Linked DNA regions of Macaca mulatta. The protein of the gene in region 3 interacts with the protein of the main gene of each other region in a pairwise test. Links are inferred from orthologs where the notes say so. Each region holds a gene or a part of one and is shown on either strand. Other genes may lie near its edges.

Evidence for each region.
Region 1: the proteins of ZBTB43 (region 3) and PSMD3 interact in binary tests that used the Homo sapiens proteins (3 or more experiments, as listed by UniProt). The two-hybrid records come from large-scale screens. The link is inferred for Macaca mulatta from reciprocal best matches to the Homo sapiens genes ZBTB43 and PSMD3.
Region 2: the proteins of ZBTB43 (region 3) and AP1M1 interact in binary tests that used the Homo sapiens proteins (3 or more experiments, as listed by UniProt). The two-hybrid records come from large-scale screens. The link is inferred for Macaca mulatta from reciprocal best matches to the Homo sapiens genes ZBTB43 and AP1M1.
Region 4: the proteins of ZBTB43 (region 3) and MORF4L2 interact in binary tests that used the Homo sapiens proteins (3 or more experiments, as listed by UniProt). The two-hybrid records come from large-scale screens. The link is inferred for Macaca mulatta from reciprocal best matches to the Homo sapiens genes ZBTB43 and MORF4L2.
Region 5: the proteins of ZBTB43 (region 3) and ELOA2 interact in a two-hybrid assay, tested with the Homo sapiens proteins (2 studies listed by BioGRID and IntAct). The two-hybrid records come from large-scale screens. The link is inferred for Macaca mulatta from reciprocal best matches to the Homo sapiens genes ZBTB43 and ELOA2.
Region 6: the proteins of ZBTB43 (region 3) and SYT6 interact in binary tests that used the Homo sapiens proteins (3 or more experiments, as listed by UniProt). The two-hybrid records come from large-scale screens. The link is inferred for Macaca mulatta from reciprocal best matches to the Homo sapiens genes ZBTB43 and SYT6.

Annotation. Positions count from the first base shown.
Region 1 is NC_133421.1:64,333,755-64,337,717, forward strand, and holds the start of PSMD3 (26S proteasome non-ATPase regulatory subunit 3), read left to right. Parts: upstream 1-1,163; 5' UTR 1,164-1,233; coding exon 1,234-1,453; exon of another isoform or gene 1,454-2,862; intron 2,863-3,910; exon of another isoform or gene 3,911-3,963.
Region 2 is NC_133424.1:16,699,891-16,703,390, forward strand, and holds part of AP1M1 (AP-1 complex subunit mu-1), read left to right. Parts: intron 1-2,555; coding exon 2,556-2,682; intron 2,683-3,500. UniProt on the Homo sapiens protein: Subunit of clathrin-associated adaptor protein complex 1 that plays a role in protein sorting in the trans-Golgi network (TGN) and endosomes.
Region 3 is NC_133420.1:20,888,874-20,892,373, forward strand, and holds part of ZBTB43 (zinc finger and BTB domain-containing protein 43), read right to left. Parts: 5' UTR 3,490-3,500; coding exon 2,086-3,489; 3' UTR 1-2,085. UniProt on the Homo sapiens protein: May be involved in transcriptional regulation.
Region 4 is NC_133426.1:110,318,700-110,322,723, forward strand, and holds the start of MORF4L2 (mortality factor 4-like protein 2), read right to left. Parts: upstream 2,801-4,024; 5' UTR 2,736-2,800; intron 1,472-2,735; exon of another isoform or gene 1,395-1,471; intron 35-1,394; 5' UTR 1-34. UniProt on the Homo sapiens protein: Component of the NuA4 histone acetyltransferase complex which is involved in transcriptional activation of select genes principally by acetylation of nucleosomal histone H4 and H2A.
Region 5 is NC_133423.1:45,344,822-45,348,825, reverse strand, and holds ELOA2 (elongin-A2), read right to left. Parts: upstream 2,769-4,004; coding exon 501-2,768; downstream 1-500. UniProt on the Homo sapiens protein: SIII, also known as elongin, is a general transcription elongation factor that increases the RNA polymerase II transcription elongation past template-encoded arresting sites.
Region 6 is NC_133406.1:126,086,681-126,090,791, reverse strand, and holds the start of SYT6 (synaptotagmin-6), read right to left. Parts: upstream 2,801-4,111; 5' UTR 2,394-2,800; coding exon 2,231-2,393; intron 1-2,230.

The DNA.
Region 1 (3,963 bases), on a different chromosome or scaffold from region 3:
GGACTTTCACTTATGGGAGAGAGAAAAGTTTCAAGGTAGGGAGAGAGTTTTTGTTTTGTGTTCTAAGAAATTGGGAACTATATCCTTCACCTTGTTTCACCTTCCCTGCAGAATCAATGGGGGAGTCCTTTGAAAAATAAGTGGGTAGAGTTTCTTGTCCAATTGGCTTCCCCTTAGGCACAGCACTAGGTAAACCATCATTCTCTCCTTAGGCACACTATTATTCTGTTCGCCATTTCACAATGTCTGTCTGGATGTATAAAAGCCCTCTCAACGGGCTCCCTAAAGCGTCTGCCAGTAGTGGCTCCCACCCTCTTTCCTCAACACTCCCAATCCACCGCAGCCCAGAGCACTGTGTCTGGTTATCTAACCATCTGACTCTCCCGTATACTACATTCTTGAGCTGTTTTTCACCCCCCTATTTGCTAGCCCTGGGCCGTACATAGGGTGGGCCCCTACATTTTGTTAAACTGGAGGGATTCTACGCAAATGCACGCTCACCCTGCAGAGAATTGTATGCCTTATCTTCAGCACTAAACTAAAATCTAATCAAGGAAGTCCGGATCCCATAGGATTCTTGCTACTCTCCAGTTCGGTTTATTTTAAGCCCAACAGCCCTAGCTTCACGTCCCTCCTTCGCAGCCTTCTTTCCTTCCCTCCTGCCGGATGCGCCCAGCAGCCGTTGAGCCCAAGCCCCGCGGATTTGGAAGGAGACCCCCCCATCGGGGAAAAGGGAGCGAACTTGGGCGCAAAACCCGCCCGGCAACTCTTGACGTTATCTCGCCCCGCGCTCGGATGGACTGTACTCACTCCACGCTGGTTGAGATGCTCTTAAAGTCCTTTGTAACCCAGATTGGAGCCTGAGGGGACCTCTCGTGGACGCCCACAGAAATGCACTCGAGAGGAACATAAAAGCATCACACTTCAGCGCTAGAAAGAAAGCACCAGGAACCCATACAGGCTCCTCCCAGCTCCTTCCTTGAAGCTCCTCCTTCATCCTGCACCTCGGCTGTTGATTTATTTCCCCTTTGTTGACTCGGCCATCGGCCTGCCGTGCCTGGGCTTTCCCAGAAGGCCCAGCGCCGGGAAGGGGTTTGCAGCTGCTCCGTCATCGTGCGGCCCGACGGTAGCCCGCGCTGGTGTGTAGGCCCGGCTCGGCTCCTGGTCCCCGGTGCTACGGTTCACGCGAGGCCCCGGCCTCGGTCCCCGGACTAGGCCGTGACCCCGGGTGCCATGAAGCAGGAGGGCTCGGCGCGGCGCCGCGGCGCGGACAAGGCGAAACCGCCGCCCGGCGGCGGAGAACAAGAACCCCCACTGCCCCCGGCCCCCCAGGATGTGGAGATGAAAGAGGAGGCGGCGACGGGTGGCGGGTCAACGGGGGAGGCAGACGGCAAGACGGCGGCGGCAGCAGCTGAGCACTCCCAGCGAGAGCTAGACACTGTCACCTTGGAGGGTACGGGAGCCCAAGCCGGGAACGTGCCGCGATCACGGGTGACAGCGACCCCTGTGATTCGGCTTCTCGCTGGGAAGCCAGAGCAGCCTCCACAACCCTCAGTTCCTTGGGATTACCCCCAGATACCTGCCCCCGCTACCCTGACACTTCCGACTCCAGGCCCAATGACTGAACCCTTCTCTCCAGGCTGGGAACCACTCCCCTCCCATCCCCTCCATCCCCATATCTGGGGTTGCATCTATATCTAGGTTCCACTGGGCCTGGGGACTCCTTCTTCTAAGTCCTCCCCTTTCTAAGCCCTCCCCTCTGACCTATTCCATTTATATCCCACCTGACTGATTTTAGCGCCTCCAATATATGACTGATTGATCCCGCTAGAAACCAGTGTTTGTGTCTACGTGTGTAAACAGGGCCGGAATGACCTAGAATATCGACTCCTGATTTTTAAAACTGTACAGCAGATTTTTGTTGTCCTAGCTGCCTTTAGCACACTCCCCCGAATGAACCATTTCGACCTAGTATCTTGTTTCCTATTTCTCTAACTGAAGTATCCCCACAGTCCCTTTGCTGTCTCCTTCTCCCTTCAGGTCCCTACTGCCCCTCTGTTTCTAAAGGGTCTAAGTACACACACACTTAAAACTTTTCGGGTGTCATCTTTGGTTTTGTAATACTAACCTTTGGCCTAAACTGCTGTACACCAGTGTCTCCTATTTCTTTTCTCCGAGGTTCCTGTTTCAAGTATCCGTAGTCCTCTTGTTCCTCCAAGTTCATGTTTTACTTTTCCCACTTAGAGCATCCTGTCTCCATTTGAAGTGGGTAAAGTGAGAGCTTCCCACTGTGATCCTGGTGCCGTTTTCGTGGTTCTGGATCAAGTGGGACCACACTACTTACTAGGTTTTTTTTTCACTAAAATGCATGAGAAAGTAGCTCAAAAACATTGAGATAAGGAAAATTATCCTCCTAAGTGGTACATTTGAGGATGTGATGCTGTTGACCACAGCTCTTAACGGTAAAGTTGAGCAACAGGATCAATATTTGATAGACATCCTTTTGCCTAAAGTAGTGACAGCCAGTGTCAAAGGTGCCACTCAGCATTGCCTACTGGGTGTGTTTATTACAAGCACTTCATTTTCTTGTTGTAAAGTAATTCATATTCATTGCAGAGATTTTGGAATGTATGAGAAGTTAAAAGCAGGGGGAAGAAAACATGGTTAACATTTTTTCTTATGAATTTTTGAGCTACTCTCCTATAATTGAGAGCAAGTTATGTATATAGTTTGTATCAAGGCATAACTAAATATAAATTTTGAATTTTATGTGTTTTCATTAACATTCATAAACATAATCAGCAATTTATTCCAGAAACATTTGTTGAATACCCAATATAATGGTTAAGAGTAGTACAAGTTCTGGGCCGGGCGCGGTGGCTCAAGCCTGTAATCCCAGCACTTTGGGAGGCCGAGACGGGCGGATCACGAGGTCAGGAGATCGAGACCATCCTGGTTAACATGGTGAAACCCCGTCTCTACTAAAAAAAAAAATACAAAAAACTAGCCGGGCGAGGTGGCGGACGCCTGTAGTCCCAGCTACTCGGGAGGCTGAGGCAGGAGAATGGCGTGAACCCGGGAGGCGGAGCTTGCAGTGAGCTGAGATCCGGCCACTGCACTCCAGCCTGGGTGACAGCGTGAGACTCCGTCTCAAAAAAAAAAAAAAAAAAGAGTAGTACAAGTTCTGGAATCCATTCCCTCATCTGTGTAAATATGAGTAATAGTACAATACTTTATTGGGTTGTTGTGAACATTAAAATGCTTAAAACTGTGCCTAGCACATAAATATCAGCTGTTATTATTATATCTTAGTGTGGCCCAGATACCCTGTGCTAAGTGCTAACTATACAGAAGTACCTAAGAAACTACTCATTGATTGCATTCCCTTACTGCTTTGCATTTAAACTGTTTCTAGTTTCTTCCTATCGTAAATAACTTTGAAGCAATCATCTTTGTGCCCAACTTAAAAAAATCTACTTTTATAATTATTTCTTAAGTACAGATTCACACCAAAACCTATATACCTGAGTTAAAAAGGCTGAACATTTTAAAGATTTTTGATAGTTATCATCCAGAAAAACTGTGCTGATTTACATTATACCAGGAGAAATGTAGTTTTCACTGTACTCTATAATTTTTTTTTTTTTTTTTTTTTGAGACAGAGTCTTACCCTGTTGCCCAGGCTGGAGTGCAATGGCGCGATCTCAGCTTACTGCCACCTCCGCCTCCCAAGTTCAAGCGATTCTCCTGCCTCAGCTTCCCAAGTAGCTGGGATTACAGGTGCCCACCACCATGCCCGGCTAATCTTTTCATTTTTAGTAGAGACGGGATTCACCATGTTGGCCAGGCTGGTCTTGAACTGCTACCCTTATGATCTGCCCTCCTCAGCCTTCCAAAGTGCTGGGATTACAGGCATGAGCCACCGCCTCCCGCCTATAATTTTTTTAATGTTACTAATTTGGT
Region 2 (3,500 bases), on a different chromosome or scaffold from region 3:
CTGTAGTCAGTGGCAGGGGAAGGGGCACCAGCCGACCCACCTCGCCAGCCGCTCGCTTTTATGTTCACTCTGGCCTCATCCCTGCGGTGTGGGTGGACTGTGATGGGCTCAGCCGATCCAGTCATGCAGGTCACTCGGGCGCCCGTTTCTGACGGCCACAGGCAGTGCAGCATTGGGCACACTTGCTCAGCTCCAGACGTGTGCACTTGGGTGTCTCCGCGACCTGGGCCGGGATTTCTGGAGGGCGGAGGCTCCAGACACGGAATTGCCAAGGAGAGTGCTGCCCGGAAAGACTTCCAGCGCGCTCCATGCAGACCTCTTCGCTTTCTTACTTTCTAAGCCATGGGACGGGACAGTGGCCTTGCTAACCACGTTCCCCTCTCCCCTGGGGACCCTTGACTGATGGTTTATTGAGCCCAAATCTGGGTGCCCTGGGGTGCAAAGGCAAGTCCCAGGGGACAGCTTAGAGAGAGCCGAGCAGGGAAGCGCTGGGGCTGCGGGGGTCCCTGCCACAGTGTGCTGCTGCACGTGGCTCCACCCCACACGGGGCAGCACAAAGGCAGCTGTCAGAATGCCGCCTTCCTAAGTGGCTTGCAGAGCTGGCAGCTGGGTCAACATTTGCCTCCAGTTGCGATCATGTGAGTGGAGCCTCGTACTTACACAGCCGGGCCCTCAGCAAGCATCCCTTCAGCACCCACTCTGGGAAGTGCACCGGTTCTGGGTGGCTTGTCACACCTCAGCTGAGAAGGTCCCGATTGCTGCCCACAGGGCTGAGATCAGCCTCATGGACTGAGCGGCTTTTCAGCTCCACTCCCTGGGCCTGCCTTCACGGCATTCGTGACCTCATGTGTTTAGTTACAGCTGGCTGCCGGGACAATCCCAACTCCCTCAGGAGGAGGCAGCACCCAAAGGGAGTTAGGGGCTGTCACAGTTGAGAAGAGGGCACTCCGAGAAGGAGGCAGGCGAAATCCCAATGCTTGGGCTCCTGGAACCCCGGCCGGTGAGGGTCCCGAGCTCCTGAGCCTCCGCGTGTCCACTGAGCACCTGCTGCCACACACGCTGTTTCCAGTGCTGGACATGGCAGCGCACAGCCGCACGTGGCTTCCCGCAGCAGGGAGACAGAGACAGATAAGCAGGCAGTCGCAGGGAAGCTGTTGTGCACCATGGGATCAGGGAGCTGCTTGTGAGATGAGGACAGGACAGCACCAGGAGGTGAGGCTGGGGAGGTGACAGAACCAGAGCCCTTGGGGCCATGTCCAGTTCCCTGCCCCTCCCCAGGCTGTCATTTGCTTGGCCCCTCAGTTTTCCCGATTCTCTCAGAGGGGGCAAGCTGGTGAGGGTCTGTTTGTCTACCCAGTGCTTTTTGGACATCATGCAGAAAACTGCACAGACTCTCCTGCCACTCTGCAGACAGGAAACACAGGCCCTGCACCATGTTAGCCTGGCTGGAGCCAGCGTCTGGCCCCAGGTGTCCAAGTCGGTGGCCTTTGGTGTGGGCATGGCCTCATGCAGCATGGCAGTATGCAGTGGTGGCCAGGGCTGCAGCCCCTGCGATTTTTCTGCCTGTCACTCTGTGCCCTCAGCACGGGGCCTCCGATCTGTGCCTGTTTCCTGACTTCTAAAATGGATGCAAGAAGAGATGCTCCAGCATCTTGGCTCCCTCAGGACAGGCTAGGAGATGCAGGACCATCGCCCTGGTGTGGATTTTTAATTGCACTTTCAGATGCATCTCGGCATGCGCAGTGGGTTACAGCCCCTCAGGTCATCTCCGCACGGTCCCTTCCCCAGAGGTTGTCGAGGCGTGTGTGGAGCGATGCCTGGCGTGGTGGAAATGCTGTCAGTGTCAGCCACTGTGACTGGATTTAAGTTGATTATTTTGGATCAAGTGTTATCACACTTCAGGGTGGCCCTGGGAAGCAGGAAGGGGTCAGGACCCAGGAAGTGCCATCTCTCATAAGCCCTGGGGTGGAGGGGCTGGTGGCCTCCCCAGGAGGCCAAGAGGAGAAACAGCATTCAAGAAAAGCAAGTCTGGCCTGGTCCAAGAGACCCCAGCCCAGCCCACTGGGTGAGCAGGGACCATAAGGTCCTGGCTTGGGGCCAGCCGAGCTCATGGCCTCTCGAGGCTGATTCAGCACAGGGACCAGCTGCCAGGTCGGCCCGGGGCATTCAGGGGGCTCTCAGGAGGGAGGGACTGGTGCCTGAGAGAGAACTCTCAGAGGGGGCTCCAGGCACGCATCACCAAGCCCCATTGTGGCCTGAGGCCTAGAGGGCAGGACCCACAGTGTCCACCTCATGTCCACAGGGCCCCAGCGTTAAGGCTGGAATAGGGGGTGGGTGAGCCTGGGGACCCTCAGCCAGGCATGGGTTGGTTTGGGTTGGGGGTAGGCCTGAGCCACAGTTGGGACTCCCCCAGCTCAGGGGATACCCAGGAGAGAGATGGGCTTGGAGGTGAGAAGGGCGTTGAGAGTGGAGTGGCCAGAGGGTCACATGACGTGGTAGGAGGCAGTGGCTGGTGAGTTGCAGACCTCCCCTCACGCCCACACCACCCCCCCCAGGTCAGCGCCAATGGCAACGTCCTGCGCAGCGAGATCGTGGGCTCCATCAAGATGCGGGTCTTCCTCTCGGGCATGCCCGAGCTGCGCTTGGGCCTCAATGACAAGGTCCTCTTCGACAACACGGGCCGTGAGTACCTGTGCCAAGGGCCCTGCCCATGAGGACGGCTTCACCGGGCACGCACATTACAGCCCAGGGCAGGGTTGGGCCAGGCGGAGGAACAAGCTAGTTTCAAGCACTTGGTTTAGCAGCATTTCACCCTGCTTGAGACAGCTGTGTAGAGTATTCATCCATCCCGGGACATAGAAGGCGCAGGGGAGTGAAATCCTCCAGTCCAGCTGGGAGGCCCCCATCACCTGGCCTCACATGCCAGGTCTTGCACCCTGCCCTGCACTGCCCAGGCCGCTGGAGCTCAGGCTGAGGCCTTGCTCGCTCCCTCCCAGGCCAGGTTCTCCCTTCACCTTGGGCCCTAGGTGTGGGCTGTGTGAAGGCCACACACGGTGATTCTCGCTCCTGCCGCTGGTCTGTAACACTTCCCACGGCAGGGGTCAGAGGGGCTCAGAGGGGCTCAGGGCCTGGGTTTGCAAACTGTGCCTCCCGCCTCTCAGCTGTCACAGGCCACTGGAAGAGGGTGCAGTGGCTAGGCATGCCCCCGTTCCTGGCCCAGTGAGGGCTTCTTGGGCATCAGCCCATGAGGGCAGCTCCCCGCCTGGGGCTGGGCAAGGCCCCACCCACATAGCCCTCAGTGAGGTGGGAAACCGAGGAAGACCCAGGACCCCGTGGATGCCGGGGCCTGAGCCCTTGGGGAGCCCCGAGCCATCCCCCAGCCGAGTCCATCGATCAATCATTCAGTGAACGTGTCCTGAGCAGGTCCTCTGGCTGGGCCCTGGGGTGGTCGCTGGAGACTCAGCATGAACCAGACCCACCAGCCCTGCCCCCCGGGACCC
Region 3 (3,500 bases):
CAGAATGGCATCACCACTTTAGTACTGAAACTGGTAATAATAGAACAATTTCTCCTCAAATATAATGGCTAGGATCATACCTAAACCCCACTGGCCTCTACCATGAGAAAAAGGAGACATTAGGCTTGATTGTACAGTCCCCTCTGTATACATGTGTCAGGTACACAGAGAAAAGACTGCTAACCAGTAACGTTTCAATACTAAGAGAAGCTATTAATGTGGTAAACAACCAAGAGGTAATATCTAGTTTCTAGGTTTAAAAAAAAAAAACTCTCTATATATATATTTATAATAAAGTTTTAAATACAAAGTGCTTTTTATATATCGAGAATGATACAGTGTTGTGAATAAATCCCTGTTTGTAATCTTGCTTACAAGAGTTAACTGGTAAATAAGTATTTTCCTTCCTCTTTCCAGACAAATGTTTAATGAGTAAACACCTTGGTGTTAGGAGCTTGAGAATCAGAGGCCATTGCCAGCAATGTCTATTACATTACAGCAAAGCCAAACTTTTCAAATAAAATGTCACCCCAAATCCAAGAAAAATTATTTTTATTTTAAGGAAAAACGTTTTTATTTAGAAGTAAATAACCGAGTACGTTTATGGAAAAGATGACATAGTAGTAGCACCCTGTCCTACCCTGGTGATAACCTCAGGTACATTACACAGCTTAAAAGCATGTGTAATATACCTTTCTTTTTAACCTAAACCATCTAGCTGATGGGCAGAAAAGGTCTCAGAATAGCTGCTGGTTTTTTTGTCGTGTTTTTTTTTTTCTGGTCGGCATAGCTTTGTGGACTTGTAAGTTTAAGCAGCTTTATCTATAATTTGGGAGCATGATTCTGTAGACTACTTTGCTAAACTTAGGACTCCTTTTAAAAGCACATTCTGGCGCTCATAAAGAACTGGCAGTATTAGCTCAGTGTACCCCCTAAAGAGTATCTCCCCCACCTTGAAAGAGTGTATTTTCAAGATTCTCCTTGGGCACGTTTTTTCCCCTTAAGTATAATCACTCATAGAATCCGGCCTATCTGCCCTCTCACTCTGGTTGGTGGAGTGTCACCTTAGCACTCCATGAACTGCCGAAGTTCACAGGGAACTCTCAGCCACAACTTGGGGCTCCTTCCCACTAAGTGTGGTCATGGACCACTCTCTTTGTAAAGCACCATAATCTAAGACAGAGCAGGGGCTGCAGCGGCCCGTGGTACCGTGGTCAGTCACAGCAGCTTGGTGTCTACCAGCCACAGAGCAGACCCCACTGCATGGAGGCTACAATTAACCAAACAGGATTTGGGAAAGCAAACCAATGAGAAATACCTATCTCTGGCACCCTAGAGAATTACAATTAGATACAAATGTCCAAACTCAACTGTTAGAACTAAAATACAAAACACTGCCTTATCAAGAGTCTGAAACACCTTGTGACAGTAGTGGCATCTTACAGAAACTGACAAGGGCACTATGTCAGCCTTGTACCGTAAGTTATCTGTTTCATATTTAGAACGTCATTCTCTTAGCATCTCCATAGTTTTAGTGAAAATATCCTTTAGAAAGAATAAAACCAGACAACAGAGCTCTGTTAACCAATTTCTCATCCTAGGAATCACATTAGTTGTAGCTTTTACATAAGTAGCACTTCCTTCAGGGAAATAGCTATCAAAACAAATCCACATTACCTAAGTATCTATAGCAAGAGCAAAATAAAATTTCAGCATGACCTTGTAGTAATGAGTGATCCAAAGCTGCTGCCACCCGAAACGGAACTGGTGGGTGGAGTCCAGTTCCAAGTGCAGGTGTATCTGTCCACCTGTTTCAATCACAACCGGTCAGAAGGTTTCCCTTGCCAGCTGGGCGGTGGGTTAACTCACCCCATTACCCATTCCAGGCCAGGACTGGAACACACAAATTTGAGGAATTAGATTTTTTTAATTGGCCTACTTAGAGCTGGTCTTTCAGAAATATCTTCCTTTTTTTTTTTTAAGCTTCTCTCATAATAGCAAGTAGCACGCATCATCTGTGCCCAGATTTGCATTAATTACCATAGTTTATTTTTGTGCATGCCACTCAAGGGCCAGATCCTATTTTTAGTTAGCCTCAGTTGTATTCTGCTCAGCCTTTGCAGCTTCGTAGGACTTGGTACAAGAAGTCACATGCCGGTGGAAACTGTCCCTCCACATAAACCTCTTTGCACAGATATTACACTCATACGGCTTTATGCCCGTGTGAATTTTCATGTGGCCCACGAGGTGGTGCTTCATTTTGAATTTCTTACCGCAGACGCCACAGCCGTAAGGCCGCAGACCGAGGTGCATGCTCATGTGCCGATCTCTCTGACTCTTGTGAGTGAAACTCTTCCCACACTGACAAGGATACAGCTTGTCGGTGGCTGAGAATCCTAAGTGGGAAGCTTCTTCTTTAATCCCTGTTACCATTTCAATATTCTCACTGTAGCCTGCTGCGAGGGCAGCCTCCTGTCTGTGCCCAATGAGGTTCCCGTCCGACCTCTCTCCGGAAAACTCTTCCATGGAAGAGCCATAGAAATCCACCTGCTCATCATAATTGCTTTCATCAGCCTGTTCATCAAACTCGGCTTCCACTTTCTTCTCCCCAATGTGGAAGTCCTCCTCCACTCCCGAAGGCTGGACGGTGTGCTCGGTCTGCACGGTGTTGATGGACTCTGTGACCTGATGCTCGTCGTAGGCCGCGTGCACGTCCATGCCCTCGCAAGCCTGTTCTAAGCGCTCGGGCTTCACGTGGATCCAGCGTTTGTGAGCCATGATGCTGGGCTTGCTGTACATGGGCCGGGTATAGTGGAACTCGGCGCTGTCGCTGGCGCCCTCCTCCCCATCCTGGCTCGCCATTTCCGTGCTCAGGCGGTCATGCTCTGTGGACGAGTTGCTGGGCAGGTATTCGTGCTCGGTGAGCTGGGATGACAGCTCGTCTTTGGTGCTCTCTTCTTCATTTTCACCATCCCTCAGTTCTTGGGCTTTGGGAAAATCAGTATGACCCCCCGAGCCCAGCTCAAAGCTCTCTACCAGGCCATTGTAACTACTGCTGCTTGGTGACTGGTGGTCACTGCCATGATTTAGCTTCTGACAAAGGACTGTAGGGTTTCCCTCTAAAACTTCAGTGCATTTGTCTACCACATGCCACATCTGGAGGAAGCTTGCCGCTGTCAAGTAACTAACAATTTCTGGAGCGGGCATTACTAGACGTCCTGTATAGCTGGACAGGAGAATGTTCTCAAACACTCTTGGGTTCATCACATCAGGCAAAACAATTCTCCTGCTGTTTTTCAGGAGTACCTGGTCACAAAAGTAGGGTGAACTGGCAGCGAGAACGGCTTTGTGTGCCCGGAAAATGTGGCCTTGGACAACAATGGAGACGTCACATAATTGTCCTTGCTGGCGCTGCTGGTTCAGTTTCTGTAGGATGGTGCTGGAAAAATCAGGAAATTCTACCCGAAAAGAGTTTGCTCCAGGCTCCATTTCATCACAAA
Region 4 (4,024 bases), on a different chromosome or scaffold from region 3:
ACTATACAGCAAACTTAGCTTTTCTGATGGTGACCTAGAAGGTCAAACAAAAGGACAGGAAAGGACATAAAATAAAAAGATATGAGATATGGCTTTCTTCTACATCAGCCAATGCAATTTCATCACACACAAAGGACACCAAAGCTGATAAATAATGTACAAGTATTTCTTTTTCCTTTCTTGTGGCTACATTTTCAAATTTAACTTATTGTATATTTATATAATTTCTGACAATTTTTTTAACTTTTCCTTAAAGATAATTTCAAATGGATGAAATAAAAGAATAGTATTACAAACCTACACGAATCCATCATCCAGCTTTCAACAATTACCAACTGAAGGCCATCTTGTTTCATCTATAACCCCACCCACTGCTCCCCCCCACCCCCGACTTTTTCAAGCTCACGGGAATATCTGACTTCTGTATTTTATTATACAAAAATTTAAACGTATACCAAGGAAAGCAGATTAATATACGGAACCCACTGCCTATCACTCAGCAAAAACTATTATTAATTTAGGGTCAATTTTGTTTCATCTATACCCCTCCCCATTTCCCCCTACCGCTTAGATTATTTTGAAGCAAATCCTAGTCATTAATGTATTTAGAAGCCAATCCCAGACATTATATTATTTAATCCGTAAATATTTTCGTATATGTCTCTACAAAAAAGGACAATTTGAAAACATAATCACAATACTACTGTGACGCCTAAAAAAATTGACATCAATTCCTTAAAAAACATCAAATATCGAATCCATGTTCCAATTTTCCCGATGCGTCTTAAACATATTTTTACAGTTGGTGTGTTCGATTCAGGATCCAAACAAGGCCTACTCATCGCATGTGGTTCATCTCCAGCTCGCTCTCGTTCTCCATCTCTTTCTTTCTCGCACTCCACCCCCCCACCTTTTATTTAACTTTTCAACATGGGAAAATTACAATCTCTGCAATTTTGAGGCAATTCCCAAAGAGCAAATTATTTCATTGGTAAAAATTGATATATCTCTTTTATCTTTAATTTATTCTAGGAAAGAAGTTGATGGCAGAAAGGGCACTACAATTAGCGAATTTATATAATTTATAATTTTTCTCATTCTATTACGTGTATTATTTATCTCCATAACAATAGCTAATATCTTCAGGGGCCAGGCTTCATATTACGTGCCTTATACGCACCATTATACAGTACACGTCTCTGAGGTAGATACTATTATTATCACCATTTTACAAACATGGAAACCGAGACACAGAAAGAACAGGAGCCTTGCCCAAGCTGGGCGTTGGCGAGCAGGAATCTGAATCCAGCTCTGACCGATTGTGAAGGAACTAGCTAATCCCGTCTATACCCGACGAAAAGAGGAAATCATCGACCCTTTCTCCCCACCCCCACCCCGAAACCTGAAACGAGAATCCAGATCTTCCCAGCAGACGACGTGTGATCACTGCCGTTCCTCCAACCGCCATAGTAAAGCCAGGTTTCTCTGGCAACTGATATCCATAGGCAGACACGTCACCCTGGAGGAGGGCGTATGCCCTTCAGCCAATCACAATCGTCTTGTCTAAGTTTTAGAATGTTCCATAACCAAATGATTGGACAACCACCCCCACGTCAGCAATGACACTTCGCCGCAGTAAAGGCGGGTGCTAGCAACCTGCTTCTTCACTGTTAAGGCCTACAGCAAACCAATCCTCTTCCTCCGTCAGTGCGAGTTCCGGCCAATGACGTTCGCCCTCTTAGGTTTTTAGCCCGCCCTCCAAAAGCGTGACAGCCGTTGGGTCATAAGTCTATAGGGCAGAATGTTCACGTGGCCTATTTCACGACCCAGAGTTCCTCTGACCAGAAGGTTTTTTTTTTTTTCCTTTTCCTTTTTTTTTTTTTTTTAATTTTTTTCCTGCAGGGAGGCATTATGGGTTTGTGTTTCCCCCCAGCCCCCCACTGGGAGAGGAAGTGTCTACGTGGCCTGCGGAAATAGGCGGAAATGAGCTAAGGTTCCCGCGAGTGGGGAAGCGCGAGGTCAAATCTGGAGCCACGCCCCCAGGCCTGTGGCGCAACTCCCCGAACATGGAAAAAAAAGGCGCAGTGGGGGGTTCTGCTGTGTTTGCGAGTTAGGGTCGTGAGTGCAACGGGCGCAAGGCATTAAGGCCAGTGTGTTAGTGCGCGGGCAGGCTCGAGTGCCCCTGGGGTTGCTGTGTGAGCGGCCCTCGTGGCGCTGGAGGTGATGTGTTTGCGCAGGCGTGCGCCCCTGGCGTCTGGACTGGTGAGAGCCACGGCGCGCGCCCGCGTGCGTGATTGGGGTGGGAGTTGCGGGGAGGGGTTAGCTACTGCGCGCAGGTTATCTATTTCTGTATTTTGTTTGAAAATGTTCTAATGAAAATGAAAATAAATAATTAAGGCAAGGCGACAATAACAGAGATAAAGGGGCACTGTCAGAAATATTTTGGCTTTCCCTGATTTAAATACTCCTCTGTGCCAAAATCCGGTCGTAAACCACAGCCCTCCAATGATTCAGAGCCAAAGCCTTCCATCGTCACATTAGCAACTCCAAAGGGAGACTTCTTTCAAGTTGTCTAGTATCCTCCTCCCTCCCCTCTTCCACACCTCCCCCCTCCCTTCAAGGTTGCGTGCAGTTCTCTTGGCACAAATACAATTTTCCTATGAGAATATCTATCTATGACAGCCTTCCCCTCCGTTAGAGACTCCGGATTTTTATGGTGACTAGGGCGCTCTTACCTTTGCGTCCTGATCTCCAAGCAAGCACACTGACCTTCTTCAGGCAAATACGCACTGTTAATTTTCCAGAAAGTTCTGTGGGTAAGGTTTATACCTCTCGAGTTCGCCACTAGATGCCGCCAAATCCCAGCAAAGGATTGGCTGTGTGGTCCCTGGGATTCTGGGATTTTGTTTCCCTCCCCCCTCCCCTTTCTTGATTTGCTGAACGCTAATATCTAAGGCATCATTGATATCGTTCATTCCTAGGAAAAAATAAAATCAGCTTCTGTGAATAGCACTAGTAGTCAGGGAACTGTGACCCAAGATCCAAATAATTTTACTCATTTCTTTCCTTTTCTCCTTGGGTGGGGGGGCGGGGGGGAAGGCCCCTCTCCATCCCTCGCTTCTTTTGTCCTTGCCTTGTTTAATCAAAGAGTTAATGAATGACCCAAGCACTGATGCTGAAGATCCTAACCCTTTTTCCTCACCTTTTCAAATGCTCGCAACTCACCCAAACTGAAAATACAGATAGCTGTTACTTTAGTAAAGAGATAAGAACTCATCAGTAAAACTTGGACCCTGGTATTGAAAACTGATTTTCCTTTTCTCTTGAAATTTGTATCAGATATGTGTGTTTGCACCCTATTTTCTGTAGTGGTATTGATAGACTTTATTGTGTCTTTGGAGTAAGAGAAAGAGACTTAATTGTTAACCTCATTCCACCACTTACTAGTCTCAGTACCCTGGGCAAATGATTTATGTTCTGTGATCCTCAGTTTTTTGTATGCTTTCTATATTTTAGATGCTGTGTTATATCCTTCATGTCGATTTTTTTTTTAATTTATCACCAAGTCCTTATTAGATGAGCAGTACTAGATCAAAGTCAAACAACAAAAATCATACCCCTTTCAATTATCTATCTTATATACTTGTACACAAGAGGGATTTTTTTAGAGCAGTGGTTCACAAGATGTGTTTCCTGGATGTACCAGAAACATCAGCATCACCTGAAAAATTGTCAGAAATTCACATTCTCAGGTCCCACCTCAAACTTAATGAATCAGAAGTTCTCACGGTGGGGTTTGGTAATCTGTGTTATTACAAACTATCCCAGTGATTCCAGCACACACTGAAGTTTGAGAACCACTGCTTTGGAGAGTAGAAATGCAATGCATATTTTTGTATACACCACTAGAGGGTGCTACAGAATGTAAAGCAAAATAATAAATGATGCACAGTATATGTTTTCACACACCATCCATATTATCAGTCCTATTTTACAGATTGAAAACTAATGTGTAGAGATGTCA
Region 5 (4,004 bases), on a different chromosome or scaffold from region 3:
CCTCCCAAAGGAGGATGGGTCATGAATACAGGATCATGCCCAGCGTTTTATTAAAACAACAACAACAACGACAATAAAGAGTTTATGTATTTGGAGTTATCAGTGTCACCTAATGGCTTGTGAATTTTTGTCTAATAAGTTCTTATCTACTTGATGATTTCCAAAAAAAGAAAGGAAAAAGGGAATCTCACATCTTTTTCCTTATTTATGATTACAACTAGGGTGTTATTTTAAAAACGATCAGTGAACAACCAAAAGATAATTGTTCCGAATGTGTTCATATCTTCTGAATTCTGAGGTGTCCTCCAGGCTGGGAGGTAGTGGTTGGGTGTGGGAGGTAAAATCACAGGTCCAGCACGTGACACCTACAGAATTCAAAGGCTCAACTTTGCACCAAGCTAAAGGTTCTGGTGTCCATTGGAAGTTTCATTCCCCAACCCGCATTGACTTTGCATTGGTCCTCCTCCCTCCAGATTTTACCTGCAAGGCAAGTCCTGAGTTCATCGTGGGGAGAATCTTTTCTTGTAGTCTCGAATTGCCTTGGCCATCAACGGGGCCACTTTCTTGGCAGCCTGTTTCCGAGTTTTGGCCGCGAGCATCACGCGCTCATTGCTGCTGCTTAGGCAGGGGTTGGCCCTCTTCTCAGGGAGCTGGTGAAGGACATTGCTGCTGCTGCTGTCTCTGCCACCACTGTCACTGCCCCTGCTGGAGGGAACGTGGCTGCTTACCCCAGGCTTTGGGGCTAGCTTGAGCTCTCCATTTTCAGGTTCAGCAGCTCCTGCAGACTTATCTTGCCTCCTTGAAGCATCATAAGGCGTCTTGGCCACAGAGTTGAAATAGATCATCTTTGCCTCTCTGCTGTTGGGGTTGTTTTCACGTGCAGATCGGATATTTGCTGTCAGTACTCGTAGTCGCTGCTCTCGGGTGTCCTGAAGCCGCAGGCACAGCTCCCGCCAAGACTCTTGCTCCTGTGGCTTTCCTTCCTTGAAGTCCTGGAGACAATGAATCCTCCATAATTCATCTGTGTCCCCAGCGAGTGCGTGATTGTATTTCTCTCTGCGATACAGCTGATCAGGTGTCCACCCTTCCAGAACGGGTTCAAGATACCAGTAGGGGATTCCTTCCACATCGCTGAGGGTGTCGGGATTGTTTCTAAGGACCCGGATGCACTGCTGGCGCAGCGTCAGCACCTGGGGTTGACAGGCAGGCCTGGAGCCCGAGTACACCTGCATCTTAGCATTCACTCTGCCTCCAGTGAAAGCAGTTTCCTCCTGGAAGGTTGGTGCAGTGAGTGCTTCTGGCTTTGCCTGGGAGGTCATGGAGTCAGAATCCAATAGCGAATGGTAGTTGGCCTGCATCCAGGCCTCTGAGGGGTCCCAGAGCTCTGAGAAGGCATGGCTGGGCACCGTTTTCAGCCCTGCAGAATCAGCACCGGCTGCCTGCAGCCTCTCTGACTGGCTTTCCTCGAAAGGAAGCAATTTCTTAGCTGAATCCCAGGACACACGAGTGCCCTTTGAATCGTTTGCTTTCCTTTGTTTATCTCCAAGTGCAGTGGTGGAAGACTCCCCAGTCTTTTTCCTTTGCTTCTGCAACTGGTCATAAGTGTGGTATTTTTCAAATGACAGAGTGGGCTGCTCGAATTCCTCAGCCATATCTACCTCCTCCACCTCAGAGAGGGAGCTCATGGACCTTCTGCCCACATGAGCCGTTGGTGGCTTCCCCTCTTGAGTCTTTTGGTCGTTGGAAAGCTGCTCTTTCTCCTCAGAGGACAGGCGGTGTGTCCCATTTCCTGGGTACGGGCCATCTAGACTGGGCATCTTCTTGTTCAAGTGTCTGTGATGAGGCCTATTTGGGTGACCGTCTGGAGCCACCACCAAGGCGGGGACATGCTGGCTGCTGCCAGCTGGTCCCCCTTCCTTGTCCTTCTTGGCGTCACCCGAGGACGGCCTGTCCCTGGCACTTTCCCGGAAGGGCATCCTTGGGGTTTCCTCTCTTAAGCGGGCCCAGGATGATTTCTCCCTGATCAAAGTAGGGGAGTGCCAATCGCCCTGGGCACACAAGGGGCATTTTTCCTGGTGGAACGATTTGTGTCCCTTGCTGTGGCTTACAAGCGCTTCCCCCTGGGGTTGGCCCTGGCAGCCCTGACCCAGCAGAGGCCCGCCCTGAGCGGCGTGAGCGTGGCCTCTTCCGGGTTGCTTCCCGGGCACAGCCGGCTCAGGGCCCTCGGGCGTCGGGAGGGGAGCGGTGTGCAATGGAGGGGCCCGATGGGGGCCTGAATCAGCTGGGGCCCTTCTGCGGCGCTTTCTCTGGGCTCTGTGCTCGCGACTGGGAGACCTTCTGTGAGGTCTCTGGAGTCCCGGAGGTGTTCTGTGTGCTGTCCGTCTGTGCTCAGGACTGTCAGGTGGGCTCCTGGGGACCTTCCCGTTCTCTGGGAAGCCCCAGGCCTTTTCCTGGTCCTGAAGAGCCTCCCCATAGCGCTTTCGGGAAGCGCTCTCCTCGGGGTCCTGTGCATCAGGCCCGGTGTTTGGGTCCACAAGCACCAGCTTCTTCCACCGGGCCGCTAAGTCTCTGGCAAAGTCGCCCACGTGCTGGTGCTTCCGCAGGCGCTTCACCGTCTTTCTGATTCCAGTCTCCGCCAGGATGTCTGCCGTCATGGGCAAGGCGGAGAGTTTCTGCAAATATTTCTCTAGCTTTTTCGGGTCCATCTTAGTGGTCAGATACACCTGCAGCTTCTCCACTGCGTGCAGCGTAATGGATCCTGCTGCCATCTCACCAGAGCTGTGCAGGCGTCACTGTCCTGGAGGTCTCGGCTCTTTCCTCGGGGCGGCGGGACACGAAGCCAGGCAGCGACCTCGGGATGTGGAGTCACAGCCTGGAGCGAGCTCGGTCCTCGAAGCAGCGGACCACTGGTTCCGGGTCGCTGGTCCTTGCAGACCGTAGGCCTCATGACGTGGAGTCACCACAGCCTGGAGCAAGCTCAGTCCTCAGTGCAGCGGGCCACTTGGTCTGGAACGCCGGTCCTTGCAGACCGCTGAGCAAGCCTGCTTCTAGTCCTCGGGATGTGGAGCCATAGCTGGAGTGACCTCTGCGGTTTGCAGTCCTACACGGAATGCAGCTCTGGTGCCAGAGCTGGGCCTTATATGGCCCACGGCAGGCCCACACTCACGGCTCTAGCCCTGACCCTCTTAGCTCCTGGGCTTCCCCGCCCCAATACGTACTCATGCCGTCAGCACAATGCAGACAATCGGGACGGTCCACGCCAGGTGGACTGCTGTGCCCCAGAGGTTGATTAGGTGAATTTCAGCCTCGACACACCCCACTGAGTTCTACCGTTGGCCTACCATTATATCAGTTTCCGTATCTGTGGATTCAAAAAAAAAGCAGACTGAGTCTTCTTGGGAGTAAAACAGAAAATAACACAGCAAGATAAAATCACAGAAAGAAGAACCAATACAGGATAACAACTCTTTACCTAGGACTGATGTTTTGTGAGGGGACTTTCAAACATTTGTCAAAACTGGGATTAAAAGACCAAAATAAAACCGTTTGATTTTATTTCTTAACATCTGCTCCATCAATTTCAAGACAGTTTTCAAGCACTGTCTTGCCCCCACCTTGTCCCTCAAGCCCTGATGGTTCTGGGAACTTAACAATTTCCATGAAATCTTTTTTTCCATTATTAACTGAAGAAAACTGGGTGCCGTTTGCAGAATTTTTAATACTAGGAAAGAAATAGAAGTCAGCAGGTTCCACATCATGACTGTAAGGTGGACGCCTCATGATTTCCCATTGAAACTTTTGCCAAACTGCCCTTTGTTCAGTGAAATGCAACAGCAAGAACTTTTTCATGATTAGGTAGAACTCTCTGATAATGGTTTTTCTGCTCATGCTTTGGCTAATTTTCTCAAAAATTCTGTTAGTAAGCCCATTTAATGATGGTTTGGCCCTTCAAAAAGTCATTTAGTCGTATATTTTGAGCATTCCCCAAAACTGTTACCATGACC
Region 6 (4,111 bases), on a different chromosome or scaffold from region 3:
AAGGCATAGTAATTCATCTGGGCCTGCTGACTCTCACCCCTCAGGCTTTTCTCACCCTCAACCTGGCCATCCAGGCACCTGTCATTGCAGATGATGGGTATCCCTCTGGAGTCAGAACACCAGTGCTTCCCCCTACCAAGATGTGCTGCGTACATACAGCCCTGCCCCACTGCCAGCAACTTCCACCCTCACCCCTGGCATTTCTGCCCTGAACAGACAGGAGAGGCAGCTTCCATCCCAGGTGGAACTCCACAGGTATGTTCTCACCCTGTAGGCTCTGAGGGTCAGGACCAGCATTAAGGCCCCGCTGGAGATGGATCCTTGGTGGAAAAGATGGAAGGGAGCTGGGGAGTAGGGAGAGGCAGGAAGAGACTCCCTGATAGGGAAAATTCTGTGTCTGGTGGGTATGGGGAAACGGGTGGTGTGGGAGGGGATGGCACCAGAGAACCAGAGTCTTATAATAATAACTTGTTAGGCCTAACGTGTTCTGCGAATCTCCAAGGCAGGGAATCAACTTCCCCAACCTCCATCTCCATACTACCCTCTAAAAGTTCTTCTTTATGTCTAACCTCAGTCCCTTCTGCTGCAGTGATCAAGCCATTGACTAAACATTGCCACAACTAGGGAGAGCAGCGCCTCCTACGACCCTCACGGGGCTCAGGTGGGCTCCAATCACCCCAAGGCTGGATACAGCCCCCTCACACACCCAAGGCTCCCCTTGGCCTACTGCCCCCTCCCCTGAATTGTTCCTCACGGGTATCTACCTCTATATACGACCTTTAACCTCAAGTGAAAGGACCCTGGGACCTGCAGCCGCTGGGGAGTTTACCCCACCTATACCTGCTCCTGGAACCGCCGGTCCCTGGCATCTCGTCCCTGGAGCAGGGCGTGGGGACCAAATTCCCGCCTCTGGCAGCCCCTGTCTCCCCTTCCCGCGCCAGCGATGCGGAGCCACTGGGCAACTCCCGAGTACTCCTAGGCCCAGCCCTACTGGAGTCGGGGTCGGGGAACAAGGAGGAATGGAGCCCGCAGAGCCTCCTGGAACCCCGGTGCCCTGGTCCCTGCAGGATCTCCCCACCCCCACTCCGCATTCTCTCCAGGCCTCTCACCCCCCCAGCCCCTCCACCACGGAGGGGACACGACCCCGTACTCCCTCCCGCCCGGGACCCTCCAGACGTCGGGACAAAGAAGCCCCGCGGCAGCCGGCGAGCGTGACTGCAGGGCACTGGTGCAGCAGGTAAATACCCGGGGCCGGCCGCCACGTCGCCGACCCTCCCGCAGCTGCCGCCGCCAGGGCGCGACACGCCATTCCCGCTGTCGCGACTCCCCGGAGACACCGCAGCTGCGCGCCGGGGTCCAGCCCGGCGGGGATCGGGCTCGGGACTCACCCGCTCCGGCGAGCTCGACTCGGCTCGGGCTCCCGCCTCGGCTAGGCGGCCGCCTGGGGCTGCGTCCGGCGCAGGGTCCGCGCGGCTTGGGCAGGAGGCGCCCTCTTGGCAAAGTCGGCGAGAGGCGCCCGCTCAGTCGCGCACCCGCCCCGAGTCCGAGTCCGAGAGGGACGGAGGGAGCGAGTTATAGGGGCGAGGGGGGTGGGGGAAGGACGCCGCAACACCCTCATACCCTCCCCCACCCCGCCCCCCGTCCCCCGCCCCCCAGCGGAGACGCGGAAAACCACTCGCAGCTGGAGAGACACCCGGACACAAAGACCTCGTGCCAGCCGCAGACCCAAGTTTCTCCCGGAGAGACCGGGGGTCCGCCCGCGTTCACCGCGAGAACACGCACACGGACGGACAGACCGACGCACGGACCCCGGGACCTCGACACTTGCTAGGAGGCGAGCTCTCTTCCTTAGCCGGGCGCCCCTTGTCTCCCGCTCTCCATGGACCCCTCTCCTGGTAGATTGCCCGCAGAGCGAGCTTGGAGATGCGAGGGAAACTGAAGCCCCGAGGGTGCCCGGTCCTGGGAGCCTGGCTGTCTGCGGGGTCCCCCGCAGTCCGCAGTAGTAATACGGGAGGGCCAGGGGGGTTCTACCCCCACCCCCGGTCCCCTTCGGGTCTCTCCTGGCTGTGCAAGCGATGGGTCAGGGGGCTGGACGAGGCTGGCTCCCAATCCAGAATCCCTAGCTGGAGAGTTCTCGCTAGGTTCTGGGGCTCCTGGGACCGGGACTTTGGGGAAGGGAGACCTCAGGACGGATATCCAGGAAGGGAAGGGGCCCTGGGTCTCCCGTTACCTGCGCCTGCCGCGCTGGGACTCCGTTCTGGGGGCTGCAGCTCGAAGCTCCGACAAGTCTCCACGTCCAGCCCGAGAGGGGGCGGCCGGGCCCGGCACAGCGAGGTGAGGACCGCGAGCGCCTCCTGGCACCGAGGCCCGCCGGCCCCCCACACCCCGCTCATGCCCCAGACACCCAGGCCTGCCGAGCAGCAGCTCGAACCCGCGCCGCGGCCGGACTGGGGCGGGGCACAACGGCCCCAAGAAGACCCTCCCTGCAGCGGCCCCCTGCGGCTCCGCTCTGCTTTTAATCACTTCCCCGCAGGGTCCCCGCCCCTCACGTGGCATCCCGCGGCAGCTGGCAAGTCTGGCGCCTCGCGGCCGCCCCCTCTACACTCAGGGACTGGTCTGAGTCCGGGGAGTAGGGGGTTCGAGGCGGGGAGCCGGGCTGTCCCGAATCTCAGAGGGTGCAAGGCCAAGAAGGAGTCCGGGTTCCCGCTCCGCATTCACTGCCTGGTGTGACCTTGGGCGTCTCTGAGCCTCAATTTTCCTCTCCGTAAAGGTGGTGTAATGATTTTAAGTACTTCACGGGCTCCCTGGGGACAGAACGATCGTGTTTGTGGTAACACTGGGGAAACTGCCACATGCCGCACGAATGACAGGGAAATAGATAACCCCGTAACAGAAAGAGCGACGGTCAGGCTGGGTCTGGGGGGACCTTGGCAGAGGTTCCTGACGGGAGAAGTTAGACTGGTCCCCGAGTCCCAGCTTCGGAGGTAGAAGACCCCAAGACAGGCGGGCGATGCGAACTGCAAGACTTTCCGAGCTCCGCAATCCTGCGGTCAGCCGTACCCGCATGTTGCTATGGCGACGGGAGGCAGCGGCGGTCTCTCTCCATGGCAACGGGAGGGGAAAGTTTCTGGCGAATAGGAATGGGGGGCCATTTCAAGAGGGCGTAGGGCGCTCAGTTCCGCCGACCCACTTCCCTGCTTCTGTGAAACAGCACCAGAGATCATGTATCTTTCTGCCAAGCATAACAAGAAAGACAGAAAGCTAAACGGGAGGATTGAGGCTAGACTTAAAGCAGAGATCCCCTCAGAAACTGTGGAGTGAGGCCCAGGAACAGATTGGCTGAGGGGCTTCGAGGCTCCTCACTCAGCGCTGGAAGTCTATGAGCCATGGTCAGGGAGGCCGGGGGACCAGCGCCCTGCTGGGGGGCCTATCACGGGAGTCTCTTGATCTCCACCTGTCGGCGGTGGGGCCGCTTCTGTGAGGGGCTCGCCTGAAGCCCCAGACCCCGGTCCATTTGCTCTCCCGGAGCTGGGAAGGAAACTTTAGCTGAAGCCCCTGGAAACCGCTGGGTTGGTGTATGCCTGAGTGGCTGGCGAGGGAAGAGGGTCTTGCCTCTTCATTAACACGCTTGTAGGAAGTGACTCGAGCAGTGACTCACGTTCCGGAGGGAGGAGATTCGGAGCCCTAGGTACTGGCGGTCTCCACTGCGCGCCATCTGTGCCAGCCGGCCCTTAGACTTGCTATCCTCTAGCAGCTAGTGCCTTGGGCACCAAGGGCTAAGGCGAGGCCTGTGAGGACCCTGGCCCAGCCAGGCGGCTTTTCCACCTTGAGGCGCTCTCTGGCTCTGTCCACAGTGCTGAAGACCCAGTTGGTGCTACCGTAGCGTGGGCCTAAGTTTAGGGGACGAGGGAGAGGCAATTGTGGAAGGTTCACAGCTTCCACCTTGACCCCTGTGCCTGTGATAGGAGAAGGTTAGGAACTCAGGCAGGGACCAGGCAGACACGACGCAGGCGATACTGTGCAATCCGGGCTGCCTTCCTGCTGGAGGTGTTTGGTTGCTGTTCCAAGAACAAGTGGGACTCTGGCATCCCCATTCGCCTTCCTGGTGCTT